Coturnix japonica: one gene and its partners. The protein of the gene in region 2 interacts with the protein of the main gene of each other region in a pairwise test. Links are inferred from orthologs where the notes say so. Each region holds a gene or a part of one and is shown on either strand. Other genes may lie near its edges. The genes, in order: SMAD3, CPSF7, NCK2 and ARMC7.

Region 1 (4,344 bases), on a different chromosome or scaffold from region 2:
AAAGAAAACAAAAAGGAAAGAATCCTGCCAACAGCTCTGCTAAGAACCATGAGGGTCTCTCCAGCCTTCTGCTGTATGCCACTTGTCCTTCCAACTGGAACCTGGGCTTGGAGGTGTGTCTGCCAATCCATCTGTGAACTAATTCATCACATAGAAGTGACAACAGGAACAAATTTGGCCTTCTAATTCCACAGTCCTACAACAAAAATTCGTGTATGACGTATTCATTTTCCTTGTTCTTTCTTAAATTGTGCATTCAGCCTCACCTTGTCGCTACAGGAACCTGAAGCTGTCAGCTCATCTGCTGCACAGCCCTTAGTCCCACAAGCAATGTTCCTGCAAAGCTTGAGCACTTTTACATCTGAAACTTGCTGTGTCTCATGGATACAATAGCTAATTTTGGACTTACCCTACTCCTGCTGGGCCAGAGTCATCGCTGGCATGGCTCCACCGTAATTCAGCCTACTGATGCATTACAGACAATGCACACCATGATCTAATCCTTAATGATGTTTTTTCCCCTTTCGCCTCCCTTCAACATACTTACTTACCTAACTAATAAAACAAGATACGAAGCATTAACTTTAAAGAAAATACTGAAACCACACTAGAATTGTCCTGAAAATGCTAATTTGGAGTGACAGGGTGACCAGATTTGTAGATACGTCAGGACAAACAGCACAGCCCAGAGGAGAGGACACAGCCCAAAGTCACAGACCTTGCTCCAGCTTTGCCACCACCCCCATTCTCCGATACCTAAGTATCAACCCCTCACTGTGCTGCTGCTGAGGGCCCAGAACAAAGTAACTTAACAACCACCACTTGCACCTTTGTAATGCCTGTATTAAACAATACCAAATGTACACAGGAAGTGTTACTCTAAAAATCTAGTACTAAGACCAAAGGAGCTGGTGTCAAAATATGCTGATACTCCCCAAGCAGCGAGGTTTAGGACATACAGGATCCAGACTCTGCATTACAAGTGGGTATGAAATGTTATAATTCCTGCATGGTTTTCTTATAGCTGAGCACAGTCTATGAGAAGCATTAGCTTCTGCACAGCAGGCTCTTCCAGGACCATCTCTGGAGGTGATAATATTTACGACTTGTGACATCTGCTCGCATTGTTACTTATTTTACAGCTTCACAATTATTTTGCTCAACTGAAGCATCCTATTGCACCCATCTCTTTGCTTCCTTTGAATCACAAAATACCAAACTCTCCCTCCCTTACGCTACAACACCTTGTTGCTAGTAAAAGAATCATCCACAGGCTTCATGCTCTGTTCATCAGCAATGAGGCACAGTACCAGAGTCATATCAGCAGGGCTGCTCAAGTCATTTTCTTCTTCCGAAGAGGTATTTAAGGGAAGTGGTTTAGATAGGGCACTATCTGTGAGGGATCCACACTGCTTACCAAGAATTTCAAAATAGAGGTTATATTACGTTTGTTACCAGGGGCAGCTCTGCACGCGTAGCTCCCTTCTTCAGCTAGAAGAGGAAGCCTGAATAACTCTAACTAATAAAGGCGAGGGGCTGGTTGTATCAGTGTAAAATCTCAGCCACGGTCATTCAGCACTAGAATATCAGGAGAATTCTTTTTTGTTGTTGAAAAAAACAAAAGCCAGAACAACAGAAAAAAGAAAAAGAAAAACAAAACCCAAGCCCTACAGTCACTGGAAGAAAAATTTCAGAGTTCTAAATGCCCACATTTCTAAGCTACTTGCTTCACTTCTTCATGCAACAGATGCTGCTTTGTATTAGCTACTGCATATTAAATCATTCTGACAACCAAGAAAGCATACATTTGTTTGCGCGAGAGAGGAGCATGAATACACACACACAGCTATCTTCTCACGCAGAAGCACACAATTATGCAGCATTCAAATATTTGGAATGAACTTTGGCCCGTGTTTCAAACAACAACCAAAAAAGTGCCCCTCAAACAACGACCAATACCAGCCCCAGCAGTCATCTGGCCCCGCACACTGAAATCAACAAACCCTCAGCAATAAAGCACCGCCTGTGGCCAGCTAGATCTGAAAGTTACGGGCAGGATTTTCCTTTGATGGGATACTTACACACACGTCCTTCATGATTTACAATGGGCTCAAAGAGCTCAAAATGAAGGCTAAAAATAAAATCTACGTTAACACAACATTTAGTATGTATGCACATGGGTTATATTCACCCTTTGGAACAATCCCCTTCAGCAATGCCATTTGTGTTCCCAATCTAAAAAGCGATTGGAAAACACACACACAGCAGGGCTCTCAATCACCTCTTCGTCTGTCCAGCTAACATGGAAACAAGCAAGCGACCCAAACAAACCATTTTGCTTATAGTTTATCAAAAATAAACAAATCTTCCCCTAACAACGCCGGAGAACACGCTGAAACTTCTGACCACGAGTACCCACAACACGCAGAGCTGTTATCCACAACTTTTTCTCTTCATCTCAGCCCTATTTTCTGCCCTCATCCCCTCGCACTTTCTCCCTCTCCCGTTATTACACAGCGCTCCCACCCGCCGCCACTTTCTCCTCCGTGTAACCGCACTCTCTCGGATGGGCGCAGCGGGCGCCCAGGCCCGTCGGCCCCGCCGCTACCTGGGGATGGTGATGCACTTGGTGTTGATGTTCTGCGTGGTGATCGCCTTCTCCAGCTCGTCCAGCTGCCCCGTCTTCTTCAGCTTCTTCACCAGGCTCTTCACCGCCTTCTCGCACCATTTCTCCTCCTGCCCGTTCTGCTCTCCTTTCTTCCAGCCCAGGAGCCGTTTGACGATGGGAGGGGTGAACGGCAGGATGGAGGACATGCTGGCTCTGCCGGCAGCGCCCCGCCGCCCCCTGCTCCGCTCCGCGCCGCGCAGGCCCCGCGGGCAGCACAAAGCCCGGCCCCGCTCCGCTCCGCTCCGCCGCCTTCAGCGCCTCGGGGCCGCGGCACCAAACTTTGCCCGGAGTTCGCCGCCTCTCTCCGGCGGCGGCGGCGGCGGCAGCTCCCTCCTCCTCCCCCTCCTGCCCCGCTCTGTGTGCGAGGAGAGGCGCCCACTCCAGCTCATTCCCAGTCTGTCTCTCATGCAAATTGCCTGCTGGCCGCCCCGGCCCGGCTTCCACCCCCTCCTTCCCTCCCAAACACGCTCACTCACGCCGCCGGGGGAGGGCGGGGAGGCGGCCGGCCCGCCGGGAACTCCGCTCCCCCCTCCTCGCTCGGGGCTGGGGCCCCTCGGCTCTCGGCTCTCCGCTCTCAGCCCCGCTACGGCGCCGGGAAAGGCGTCCCCTGAGCGGCGCGGCCTTCCCACCTCACAGCGCGACCCTCAGGGCCCCCTCAGCGTGGGGACCCTCAGCCCTGGCTGTTTTCTGTGGAAAAAGGAAGAAAAATAACACAAACAAGTGCCGCACGTCTTTCCACGCAGCTGAGCACCGCTCAGTCAGCCTTGGACAATCAGCAGTTTCAACTCCTTCAATTTACTGTTCTCTTCCTTCATCCTCCCACTCTGCAGACTGGGGACCCGAATAATTTTCGCCCTGTATCATCTCCAGTGTGTCGTTTGAGCCTGTTTACCACCAGACCTGGTCAGAAATTCTCAGACGGAACATTTTGGTCATTGAGCCGCTGTGTGTTCAGCTCTAGGTGCTTTGCAGAGAGGCTCTTGTTTTGCACTAACTCAGGACGGCATCCAGGTGAATGCCCAGCTCCTCCCTTTCCACTGCTGGGCAGACAGGGCCGCTGCCCGGCCTCCAGCATTGCCCCCTCATGCTGAAAGGGAGCCCACCCAGATACAAACAGCAGCTCCTCAGTGCTCCGATCCTGTGGTAAATCGCCCCAAAACGATGCTGAGCAGCACACAGCAGCCTGGGGCCACCTGCAGAGTCACCGGGTGCCTCCACCGAGGCCAGTTCGCTTTTCTGCGCTCCAGCTGCACGCAACAGCCATCCAGGAACAGGGGGTGAAAGTTTCAAGGCCCAAATTCTGAGGTTTTGAGTTGAGAAATGCTTCCCAGCTTCCTCCATCCTCCCAGACGGGATGATGGGGAGCGGAATCTGGGAAGCCTCCGGGGCTGCTCGGCAGCTCCCAGACACCTACAGCTCTTGCCAACCCACGTTCTCCAGTTCCAGGTTCCAGTACAACCCAGTGGGGAGACTCCTCGAAAGCCAGCATCCAAAATTCCCTGTGTGTACAGATTCAAAGCAGCCAGCTATACGGATTGCCTTGTGGCAAGTTAGGAACCTATGGGTTCAGACAGCGTCTGATGCTCAAAGGCAACTGGCCTGACTTTCACAAGGGGTTTAAAAACAGACAGTGCCCTTTGTTCCAAACTGACAGTACCAACTTCTGAAATATCAAT
Region 2 (3,486 bases):
CAGCCTTCTGCTGGTTGAGCCTCTCCTCACACATCCTCTCCTCTGTTCTTTGCAGCATGGATGCATACTGAGGCCCTGCACCAGAGGACCACAGCAGCGCAGGTACACGAGATGGCAGCAAGCAGGTGGCACAGGCTCCATCTCCAGCCTGTGGTGGTGAGCCAGACCCACACTGGCACCTGTGGGCAGTGCCAGGGCTGTGCCTGGGTAGCACCCACCCTGCTGCCACCCAGCCCCGAGGTTTGTGACACACAGGTCAGTCCAAGGTACAGACAATTTGTTTTTTTTACAGCGTTGTAAGAAGAAATCACTATTTTCCAATAAATAGTTATTTTTATCTGGTGCCTGGGCACGTGGCATCCCCCCAGGCCAGAGCACCTCATTACCACAGCCAGCCCCTGAGCCAGCATGGGAGGCACAGCAGCCCTTAGGAAGAGCTGGAAGATTGGGGGTGGGGGGGCGTTACAGAAGTGCTTGGCTCTTGCTGCCCATCCACACCTTCATCCCCTGAACATCCCCACCAGAATCTCTTGAAAAGCTCCATATAAAAGACTGACAACGTCATCAAGTTTATTACACAACTTCCAACCTATCAGAAAGACAAACAAACCTAAGTCACTGCGGGCAGAGGGGGGCAGCGCCTCGCCGGGTGCTTAATAGAGGTTCCTCTCTGCACTTTTCCCCCCCACACTAATTGGAAAGAAACTATAAATTTGTGTTGTTACGTAAAAAAAAAAGCCAACAAAAACAGAACTCACCCACCAAATGCTTCCCCCCAGTGCTCACCTGATGGTACTTGATGGAATTCATTGTGTGATTGTAGCCTAACAAAGACCTGTGGAGCTGGGTTTTTCTCCTGTCCAGCAACAGTTCTGAAGGTAATGCCACCCAGCTGGCATCCCTGGGGGCTGGCTGGTGCTTTGGGGCTCCTTGGTTTGCCTGAACCTATTCAGCTCCTCCAGCATGCAACCTTAGCTGAATGGACCTGTATAGGGCTATGAGCTCCTCCTGGGCTTCAAAATGGCTGTGCACAGTGCTGTGCAACTCCACTGGGCATAGGGAGCTCGTGGCCTTGTCCCTGCCACCCGTCCCAGCTTGCAACTGCACCATCACACACAGAGATGCTGCTGGGAAGGGGACATACAGTCGCTGAGGCTGGGGTTTGCAGCTCTGCTTCCTCTGCTTCCTCTAAAACAAGGAAGGCTCTATGGGAGAGGATGATGTCGTGAGGCCCCACCAGCTCCTGGAAGCCAGAGCTGGTGCTTTGGGAGATGAACACGGAGGCTGTGACCCTGCTGTGAAAGTTGGGGCGGAGGGGGGGTGACCCCAGCCCAGCTCTCTTCCAGCTGAAATGGAAAGCTGCGTGCCACTGAGCCCCTGTGCGCCCGAGGATCCATCCACCTGCAGCCACTCCTGGAGGGCTGCGAGAGGAAAGGGCTCACCAACCTCCCTCCGTGAAAATAAAGCACCATTTTTCTTTGGGTCCAAGTACTGATGGAGCAGGGCCCCCTGCCTTTCAGCCTCTCCCCTGGAAGCAGCAGTAGCGGTGGGTGTGGGAAAGGGCTCAGGCCCCAAGGTGTCAAGGAGTCCCTCAGGTGCCTCAAAAGAGCCGTGGGTGGTGAGCAGGGGGTGAAGCAGCCACAGTGGCGCAGTCCTGGTTGAGGTGAGGAGATACGAGTCCATTAAAAACCACTTACTGCCAAACTTCTGCAGGAGAGAGAAAAGAAGGAAGGGCAGCGCTGCAGCACCGGGTATCTTCAGCCATCAGCACAGCACCGTCCCGCCGCTGGGCTCACCTGTCTCAGTGGTGCCGGTCCCTCTCTCTGTCTCTGTCCCGATGCCGTTCATGCTCCCGGTTCCGCTCCTGGAAATAGTCCTCGTGCCGATCCTCACCATGCAGGACGTCCCGATGCCGCCGACTGCTATCACGGGACCGGCTGGGAGAGCGATCCCGAGAGCGGTGTCTTTTCCTGGGGGAAGAAGAGAAGAACGTTTGGTCACCTCCAGAGACCCCAATGAGCCACGCAACCCCCCCAAGGCAGGGTACCTGGTGGAGCTGCTGCTGGAGCTGGTGCTGTAGGACTTGGCTTCAATGCCATGCAGGCAGTCTTTGAGGGAGGAGAGGAGGACGCGGCACCGCTCATCGTTGGCAACGCGGGACTGCTTGATGACAGCAATGGCTGTCAGGAGGGTCTCGATGGCATCGCTGTAATCACCTGTGGGAAGTGGAGGAATGGTGAGGGATGCAGCAAGCTGCAGGTTCAGGGCTGAGGGGATGACGGGGCACAGGGACACAGCCACCGTTACCTGCACTGGCACCCGACACTGCTTTGGAAATGGCACTGCTGGAGATGGCCCGGTTCCTGTTCATGATCTCCTCAAACTCCACCTCACTCACAGGGGCAGGTGGTGGACCGAGCTCCCGGCTGCACAGATATAGGGTTGGGGGCTCAATGCAGCTCCCTCCCAACCCTGCTGGCACCAAGCCCCCCTCCACCCTCCACTCACCTGCTGTGGTTGTAGGGGGTCAAGGATTTGCCGTAGGCATCTGGTGGGGGCCCCACGGCCGTGCTGGGTGGGGGGAAGAAGGCTGGGTTGAGGTGCAGGGCTGGAGGGACAGCCCCAGGGGGGGGCACGGCCAGGTGTGGGGGCAGTCGGGGTGGAGGGGGCATGAGGTGCTGGTAGTGGATGCCGGGTGGTGGTGGGGGGACGCCGAAGCTGGAGGAGAGAGGTGGGAGAGGGGGCATGGGAGGCGGGGGCAGTCCCATGAGGGGCAGAGCAGTGGGGGGGCGGTTGAAGAAGGGCAGGATGGAGGGGGGCTTCTCCAGGCGGGTGGGCGGCAGCGCATTCTCTGTCGGTGTGGCACGGCCATCCAGAGAGTCGGCGGAGTCCCGTGAGTGGGCCCTCGGCGGCACACCTGCAAGCGGCATGGGAAGGGCAGTGAGCTGCAGCCACAGGCACTGCCTGCCCCTCACTGACCTCTTCCTCCCTACACACGCGCGAGGTTCAGCCTCGGGAAAGCTTGAGGTGCCCAGAGACAGATCCAGCCAGCCAAACGTAACCTCCGCTTACACGTGCCTCTCCAACAGGGTCACCTGCGGCCACCTGCACAGCGTCCCAAGGATGCTTGCTTTCACTGGCCGCAGAGCGAGCAGGGACGTGGATAGAAGTGAAAAGCCACAAGAAATGGGGAGAGATGGCCAGAGCCCAGCTTCCTGAAGGTATGAAACAGCCCCAAACACTTGCAGCCTGCTCAAGCAGGCAGCACGAGCATGGATGCAGGGGCAGAACCCAAGTGCTGACAGCTGGAGGAAGGAAAACTGCCTCAGAAGAGAAGGGCAGGAATTGAGGATGAGGCTTTGACGGCGAGCCGGGAGAGGAAAAAAGGGGGGACAGAGCTCTGGGAAAGCTGCTGAGCCCATTGCAAGACCACTCAGGGAGGCTGAAAGTGCACAAACCCTGGCCACCGAACCATGAGGGTGGGCA
Region 3 (3,563 bases), on a different chromosome or scaffold from region 2:
ATCCTTTATTAAACTGTTACCACTGAAAATTTTTAATGCTTAAGGCCCAATCCAGAAAACGAGGTCAAAAAGGCAGTAAAACTTGCAGAAACCTATCTTAATTAGCAAGGACTGGGAACAACTGAAGACCTATTAATGAGCCTGCTGAATAGACTGCATGTTGATTAAATACGGAGTGGGCAAAAACAAGATGAAGCTTGTTTCAAAAAAAAATAATTCAAGCTAGTTGTTCATAAGGCTGGATCATAAATTAACGTTAGTTACTGCTTCCAAACAAAATACTCCAGTGGTTGGCGCCTCTATATTCAGAAGCTGTTCACAAGGCAAGAGGTGGAAGAAAAAAATAAAAGGATTGTAAATCCCTTAGAATATCGAGCATATGGTAAAAATCTCACTTGGAGGTCTATTTGATTTAGTTCTAATCTATCAAGACTAGAAAGGGGTTCGGAACTTTCAGTGGAAAAAAGAAAAGCAAAATAGGAAACGCACAGCAAGAGGCATAGAAAGACTCTTGGAACACAAAATACAGTGAATGTTTCAGAAAAATGAACATGGGGCAACATGAAAGAGTAACTGTAGTTGTTGATTTACTGAAAAACATTCCCACGTACCACTTTTTGAAACACTACAAAGAGGCAATGGGACTGAAAAGCAACTCACTCCGAACTGAAAACACACAGCATGTAGTTGGCTTTCTTAATGTCTTTGTCATACTCAAGGTACATGCTTACATTGAGCTAAATGAGTAACTAGATATTACACAGCAAAAGCCCTATGGCCTCTGCAGAACTCACTTAAAAGGTTAAGAAGAAACCAACTGTGATGTCCTGGCAAGAAGGATGTAAACAAGGGGCACTTCTCAGCAACTCCATAATGAAAATTTCTCTGCTCCCATAATCTAGCCATGGGTATGTTCTTGCCAGGATGAAGAAGAGTGATTGTTCTGGTCTGTCTTATATAACTACCCTTATTCACAAAGCTGGACCATGCAGAAGTTTCAGTGCCCGATTTTTGTTTACCCACATACAGTTGTTAATTCATACACAGTTCTAATCCAGATAATCTCACAGAAATAAGAGCAGCTGTGGAAGAATAACATGTGTATAACTCATGAAGTTGTACGTTGGTTGCTCTGAAAGTAATGCCTCGATTTACTTCCATCGAAACTACCACAGATACAAAGAGCACAATAACACTATTTGATAGAACAAATTCTCAGCTACAAAACACTCTTTTTCAACAGTCATCACCATCAGCTATGCATTTTTGCCAGCGATGAACAAGAGCCTGCATGCCACACTCATAAAAATCTGCATGGCCATCCAGAACATGGCTTGTCTTTCATGTTGCTGTCACCACTGCTGAAATGCACCACCCACCGCCTCACTGTGCTCACATCCACTGTCTGGTCTCCATTAAGTTCCAGCAAATGATGATGAATGTCAATGGGTGCCATTTTTTTCTGCATGGAGGAATTCAACTAGACACCTTTGTTTCATACACACTTTCATGTCAGACATCATTGCATCAGAGTGCTGCCATCTGTCACACAGCAGCAAAATGTTACAGAATGTTGGTGGGAATGCTCAGCCCCTACTACCGTCCTACTAATATCCACCTCTGACTTCATAATAATAAATAGGAGACATTACTTTCAGAGCAGCCCTCAGCTGGTGCTTGTTCTGCCTACACTGGAGTTATGCATGTATCACCACTGGCTGAAATACAAAAATCTGTAAGGAAGACTTAATAGCAAAAAAAGGTCCCATAAAAGAGCTCCATCTTGCAGTTTTCATTAAAGCTATAAACAAATCACAGAGAGAATCAATGTGGAGCTCATTAGACACCGCCTCGTATCAACCTGAACTCTGCAGTGGCACATATTTTCTTTGTAGGCCACACACATTCCAAGACAGGCAAATTCAGAATTTACTCTATTTGACCTTTCTAAAGCCACGCCAGAACTACCACCCAAGGATAAACCCAGTACTCCATCATGACATAATACCTTTTTTATTACAATATCCAAAAAACTGAGTACGCAAGATTTTGAGATCTCAAGATCCCTTCTTCAATCTCAGGAGTGTGCCATCTAAAGTCTGTATATTTAAACCATAAAGGAGTTTAAATGTAAAGAAAAGAGAAAAAAGCATTTTCTTCATAAACATTCTGTGTGTCTCTTCCTACCAATCACACCACCCTCCATAAAACCTGAAGTTTCCTTTCTGTAAAGCAAATATATATATAGTGTTGGTAGCCCACCCCACCCTGTCCCCTGATCAGTTTTTATTAATTTTCTGTATTAGTGTCAACAATCAGCTACAGATACATATTACTTTGAGAATTAAATACATAATTGTTTAATTCAAACAAGCAGAAGGGCAAGAGGAAAAAAGCATTATGTGGATGGCACATTTGGTTGTAGATTACCAGAACATTCAGTCTTTACAATTCAATGATTCTCTCTTTAGTAATCAACTTTCAAATAAAATTTCTCTTTGTTGCAATTACAGACCAAAATACACTAGATAGTTTTCTTTTACTACAATCTTACCATAGTAGTTTAAGAAGTACTATTACAAAACGCTTTAATTAGTGTACTCTTTGCAAAGAGTCAGAGAGGCAATGTAATAGCAGAGTACAGTGTAAAGAGTGCTTCTAGGAACTAGGAGTTTTTGTAATATACTACCTGGTAAGCAATATAGCTACAGAACTCACAGCCACAACTGTTATGTCTACTATATCTCACTTACTTAGCTGCAGCCTCAGTGCATTCAAACTGTGCCCGATGTCTCTTAACAAAGAGTTCTGTCTGTCTGCGTGAGCAATTTGAACAGGTTAACACTGGGTTGAATTGCAAACCCCCCTCCTTTATCCGAGCTAAGTATGTAAACGTACACAGAAGAGGGGAGTTTAGAACTCGGACATGGAAGTGAGTGCTTACAATGGCCACAGAGGTGAACTTCTCAACCTGAAGGGAGGTGATCTGAGATTAACAGAACTGAAACACAAAAGTAGGCAAACGAAAAAGGACAAATAACAACCAACAGAGCAAACACGTTAGAAAGAGCCTACTCTTTAAGCCTGCTTCGGATATTGCTCTGCTCTATAAAAGTGATTTTAGGACCTAAGGCTTGGAAGTTAGAAGGGGCCTGGGTGGCCAAGTCCATCTTCATCGTCACTGAAGTGCTTTCACAAGATATAGCTTTTCCCCGTGTTCACTGGTGAAGATGGGTGCCTTTTTGTAGTGTTCCACCAACTCATCCATAGTATTAAAGCGACGCTGCCCAATACAATAGACATTGTCCACGAGCTGCACCTTGAAATGTTTGTTCTTCCCCGATGCTTTTAGAGATACCGAGAAGTCACTGGGCTGTTGGGAATAATTCAAAAAGAAAAAGAAAGAGTTACATAAAAGTGAACAAAAAGAAGGCACAGTATGGTGGTTTCAAGAACAAACTGAAATACAGCTGACAGCGTAATTTGTGTTAGTCTTTGTTCCACAGCTCAGTGCCTCAGCTACTTAAGAAACCCAATAGTCTATTATTCAATAAATAATTGCC
Region 4 (3,784 bases), on a different chromosome or scaffold from region 2:
GATGAAGGTTCCCGCAGCGCACAGCGGAGCCGCCTGGCCCCGCACTAAGGCCAGGCCGGCAGTTCCACCCGCTTGTGGCCGGAGGTTCCACTCGGGGCCGTGGTGCCGCCAGGGGCCGCTCGGCTTCATGCGGGGGTTGCGGGGTTCACCTCACGGTGCCTCGTCCTGGTGCGGCCGGAGCCGCAGTGATGTTATGAAGAATAACTATAAAGACAAACAGCCAGCTGTGGTGTAAGCTCACTATGGCGTGTTTTGAGCTGAGTGGAGGGGGAGAAAGCAGAACTCTGGAACTCGCAGCCTTTCAGAAGCACCGTGGTAAAGGGCCACCCCGTTCTATGCCTTTGGGCAGTTTGCCGCCCTGGCTCCAGGTTACCTTTTGCACGATTGGCTGATCATAAAAGGAGAGCAAAGTGGCTCCAACTCCCAGCCCACGTGCATTAGTGGGAGCAGCAGAGGCTGCGCTGCAAGAGCTGTACAGGAACATTTACGAGCTTACACAGAACTGTTTACACAACAGCTCCGTTAATGTTTTATTAAGAAAAGGCTTTTCTTGTGAACCTGAATGCCATAAACCCTTTTCCTACCTGCACCTTTCTCACCAGTGGTAATGAGGGAAATACAGCTTTCTGCTTCCTGACCTATGGGATAGCTATCACCTGTTCTAGGGCAGGATGATAAGACAGTATGTATAGTACCAAAGGTATGTAATAGGATTGCAAATTACCAGGGCAGGGAAACGCATTTCTTCTGCAGGAGGGATGAAGTTTGGGTCATTTCAAAGTCATCTGAGTTGACACTGGAAAGCTGTGGCAAAATCAGCCAGGAACTGGAAGTGATACAAGCTGAACAATAACCCGAGCAGAGAAAGTAACTGCTATAAGGGTTATACCTGTAAGCTGGTTCAGAGCTGCACAGCAGCCATCACCTTTTTTATTTAAAATATTTGCTTCCATTTTCAGCCACGTTCTTGGCCTGTTATAGTGCTGTATGGTCCTTTTCAATACTAACTAAAATCCAATGCTAGTCTGATTTCCTGCTTTACTGTTCTCATCACACTCTTGACCTACTCAGCATTAGGTGCAGACCTGAGCAAACAGGGGGTGCTCCTCGCAGCAGCTCCAAGCTGCTCTGACAGCTTCAATCCTTCGGGAGAGGAATCCCCACCGCTGTGTGTTTGCTCAGGTTCCTGGCCTCTTCCACCTGCAGGGGCGTGCAATAATCCTCCAGGAAGATCGTGGCCAGATTGCTCAGCCTTCTGCTGGCCGACAGGGAGAAGCGAAGCATGCATTCCACCACCGGGAGAGCTGTGGTCTGCTGGCACGACTGCGGCGTTGTCAGATACATCAGGGCTGTGACTGCTGACATGACTGTCTCTTCGTTGGAGCTGGAGAGGCAGTTTATTATGGGCTCTACCCCATTGGCCTCCAGGATATAGTCTTTGTTAGTTTTATCCAAGCACAGGTTGCAAAGACCACCTGAAATAGCGAAAAAAGCATCTGACACATGCAAGACAGATTCTTTCTGCAGCCTCATCCGGACACACTCCATGCTCTGAAGGGCACCTCATCTGGGAATGAATGGCAGCAGCTGGAGCACGTTCCGTCTGTTGGTACCAGCAGTTGGGCCCTGACCTGTGTGGTGCCGGCACTGAGTTGTCCGCAGACGGACACTCCATCTTTACTACTTTTCTTAAGGCAACATGCACAGACAGTTTCCCTGTGTGGTAAGGGGGCAATCGGTCTTCAAGGTACCAGGAATTAAATGATGGGTTTTTAATTGCCCTACGTTGCCTTTTATTTTCTCCTGTCCATCTCAGTGCAGTGATGGCATTTATGGCGCCGTGTGGCTGCAGCGTTTATTTTCATTTTCCCCGGTTTGTTACCTGTGTTTTAGAGAAACAGGGAAAGCATCGGGGCGCACCCAGCGCTGTGCTCACCCATAGCGAATTCCACCAGGGTCTCGTCGTCCTCCGTCAGCATGTCGAGGAACAGGTCCAGCACCTGGAGCTGCCGCAGATACTCGTAGTTCTTGGGGTCGTAGGCGAAGTTGGCCAGGTTGGCCAGCACCTGCCGCCTGGCCTCTGCCGGGGAAGCAACGCGTCAAACGGGGCAAGGGGGGCTGTGGTAGATGGAGATTTCGCTTTTGTACGCGGGGTTACCTGGGCTGTCTGTCACCTGGAACTCCGTGACGAGGGCCTGCAGGTACTCCAACCTGCCCAGCTCCATCCCGAGCTGAGAACCAGAACCAGCCGATCAGCTGGACCGCGCCGCCGGCACGGGGCACAACGGGGCGCTCCGGACACCGGCGGCCGCCATGTTGTGGGCGTTACTCCCCGGCCGCCATGTTGTGGGCGGTGCGGCTGCTGGCTGCGCTCCGCGTGCGGGGCGGGCTGTGGGCAGCTCATGTGCGTCAATAAGTGAAGGCACATATCACTGCTGCACTCTGTATCTGGCAAACACGTGTTTTTATCGTTTCCCCCCTTTGTTCTGCACAGTTCTTCACCTTTCCCTGCCACCTGGTTGCTTGCCCCCCAGGCCTCAGAATTTACACCCCCGCGTGTGCTTCTCGTGCCTGTAACTGTGTTAGTGCACTTGAAGCGACATCTGTCATTACTAATATGGACCAGAGCGGGGCTGGTGTGAGAAGGGCAGAGAAGAGAAAGCAAACAAGGAGAAGCAAACCGACAGAAGTGTTTGAGGACAGTGGGACTGAGCAATAAGGGGAGGAGCGCGTTGCATTGGAGGAGGAAAATGCAGCGCTGAGTTCCCAGGTACCGTGTGTGTGTGTGGGCAGTCAGTAGGATTTTGCAAGCACAAAACCAATGGGAACTTTGTCCCCTGCAGTGATTTCACTGCGAGCAGCGTTTAGGAACAGCCCGTGCTGGTCGGGTGGTGCATCCCCGAGAGCTGCACCCTGCGGGTCACACTGCAGCGCTGCTGCTCACCTCACTGCGAGCTGCGTGCTCTGCTGCTTCTAGATTCTATCTTGTTTTGAGTCTAATCCAGGCTGGTTAACGGATGTGAGGAACATTGTGCATTTAATTTGAGCTGTCCCATAGAGTTTGGTAACATTCCCAGGTCTGTGGTCTGCAGAGATGTTCTGTAAGGGCTGCAGGCTGTGCTCGTGCTGCTTACATGACTGAGTGCATCTGATCATCACCGTGTGCTGCAATGCTGCAGGAAGTTTTCCTGGTCGTACACAACCATCTCTTGGCAGCAGTGCTGGCTCAGGCTGTTTGTGCGGGTGATGTGGGCCATATTTTGTCCATGTTGCACAGGCTGCCTGAGCATAGCTGTGGTATTAACAGCCTTAGGGGTAGTCTAATGACAGTGGTGCCCATTGATATCTCAACAGAGTTAGAATTTGGTCAATTTCAGGTTCTGGTGGGTGTGTTTCTTTTCTTGCAGTTACTGACTGGGTCTGCAAATTTTGCCAAACTCTTCATTTGAGTGATTTTGCAGTTCTGAGGTGTTTTAGAGTACGTAAGTTTGCCGTGACCTTTTGGGTTTGTTTGTTGTTTGTTTTGTTTTTAATTAAAGTTTTCCAAGATTTACCCTGGCAGACTATCTGAGTCTTATAAGGTTCACAGTTTTGCAATATTTCAAATGAACTTCCTGGTGAATGTTTCATAGCAGTAGGAAAAGGTGCTTGTTGCAAAATATGTTTAGCTCGCAAAGTTAACGATACATTTAATGACAGAGGGAGCAGGAAAGAGTGTGAGGGGACTGGGTGAGGGTTATTTGTCTCCTGACATTTCCTGTTGCTCTGCTGGCTGTCAGAGGTT

Evidence for each region.
Region 1: the proteins of CPSF7 (region 2) and SMAD3 interact in binary tests that used the Homo sapiens proteins (3 or more experiments, as listed by UniProt). The two-hybrid records come from large-scale screens. The link is inferred for Coturnix japonica from reciprocal best matches to the Homo sapiens genes CPSF7 and SMAD3.
Region 3: the proteins of CPSF7 (region 2) and NCK2 interact in binary tests that used the Homo sapiens proteins (3 or more experiments, as listed by UniProt). The two-hybrid records come from large-scale screens. The link is inferred for Coturnix japonica from reciprocal best matches to the Homo sapiens genes CPSF7 and NCK2.
Region 4: the proteins of CPSF7 (region 2) and ARMC7 interact in binary tests that used the Homo sapiens proteins (3 or more experiments, as listed by UniProt). The two-hybrid records come from large-scale screens. The link is inferred for Coturnix japonica from reciprocal best matches to the Homo sapiens genes CPSF7 and ARMC7.

The regions. Positions count from the first base shown.
Region 1 is NC_029525.1:17,036,038-17,040,381, reverse strand, and holds the start of SMAD3 (mothers against decapentaplegic homolog 3), read right to left. Parts: upstream 2,815-4,344; coding exon 2,609-2,814; intron 1-2,608. UniProt on the Homo sapiens protein: Receptor-regulated SMAD (R-SMAD) that is an intracellular signal transducer and transcriptional modulator activated by TGF-beta (transforming growth factor) and activin type 1 receptor kinases.
Region 2 is NC_029520.1:295,653-299,138, forward strand, and holds the end of CPSF7 (cleavage and polyadenylation specificity factor subunit 7), read right to left. Parts: intron 2,918-3,486; coding exon 2,509-2,917; intron 2,427-2,508; coding exon 2,308-2,426; intron 2,217-2,307; coding exon 2,048-2,216; intron 1,971-2,047; coding exon 1,802-1,970; 3' UTR 1,797-1,801; intron 1,708-1,796; exon of another isoform or gene 1,655-1,707; 3' UTR 546-1,654; downstream 1-545. Other genes in the region: TMEM216 (transmembrane protein 216), read left to right, coding at 56-71.
Region 3 is NC_029516.1:122,088,889-122,092,451, reverse strand, and holds part of NCK2 (cytoplasmic protein NCK2), read right to left. Parts: intron 3,374-3,563; coding exon 3,179-3,373; 3' UTR 1-3,178. UniProt on the Homo sapiens protein: Adapter protein which associates with tyrosine-phosphorylated growth factor receptors or their cellular substrates. Maintains low levels of EIF2S1 phosphorylation by promoting its dephosphorylation by PP1.
Region 4 is NC_029533.1:9,330,619-9,334,402, reverse strand, and holds ARMC7 (armadillo repeat-containing protein 7), read right to left. Parts: upstream 2,349-3,784; 5' UTR 2,226-2,348; coding exon 2,159-2,225; intron 2,081-2,158; coding exon 1,937-2,080; intron 1,476-1,936; coding exon 1,138-1,475; 3' UTR 506-1,137; downstream 1-505. UniProt on the Homo sapiens protein: As a component of the minor spliceosome, involved in the splicing of U12-type introns in pre-mRNAs.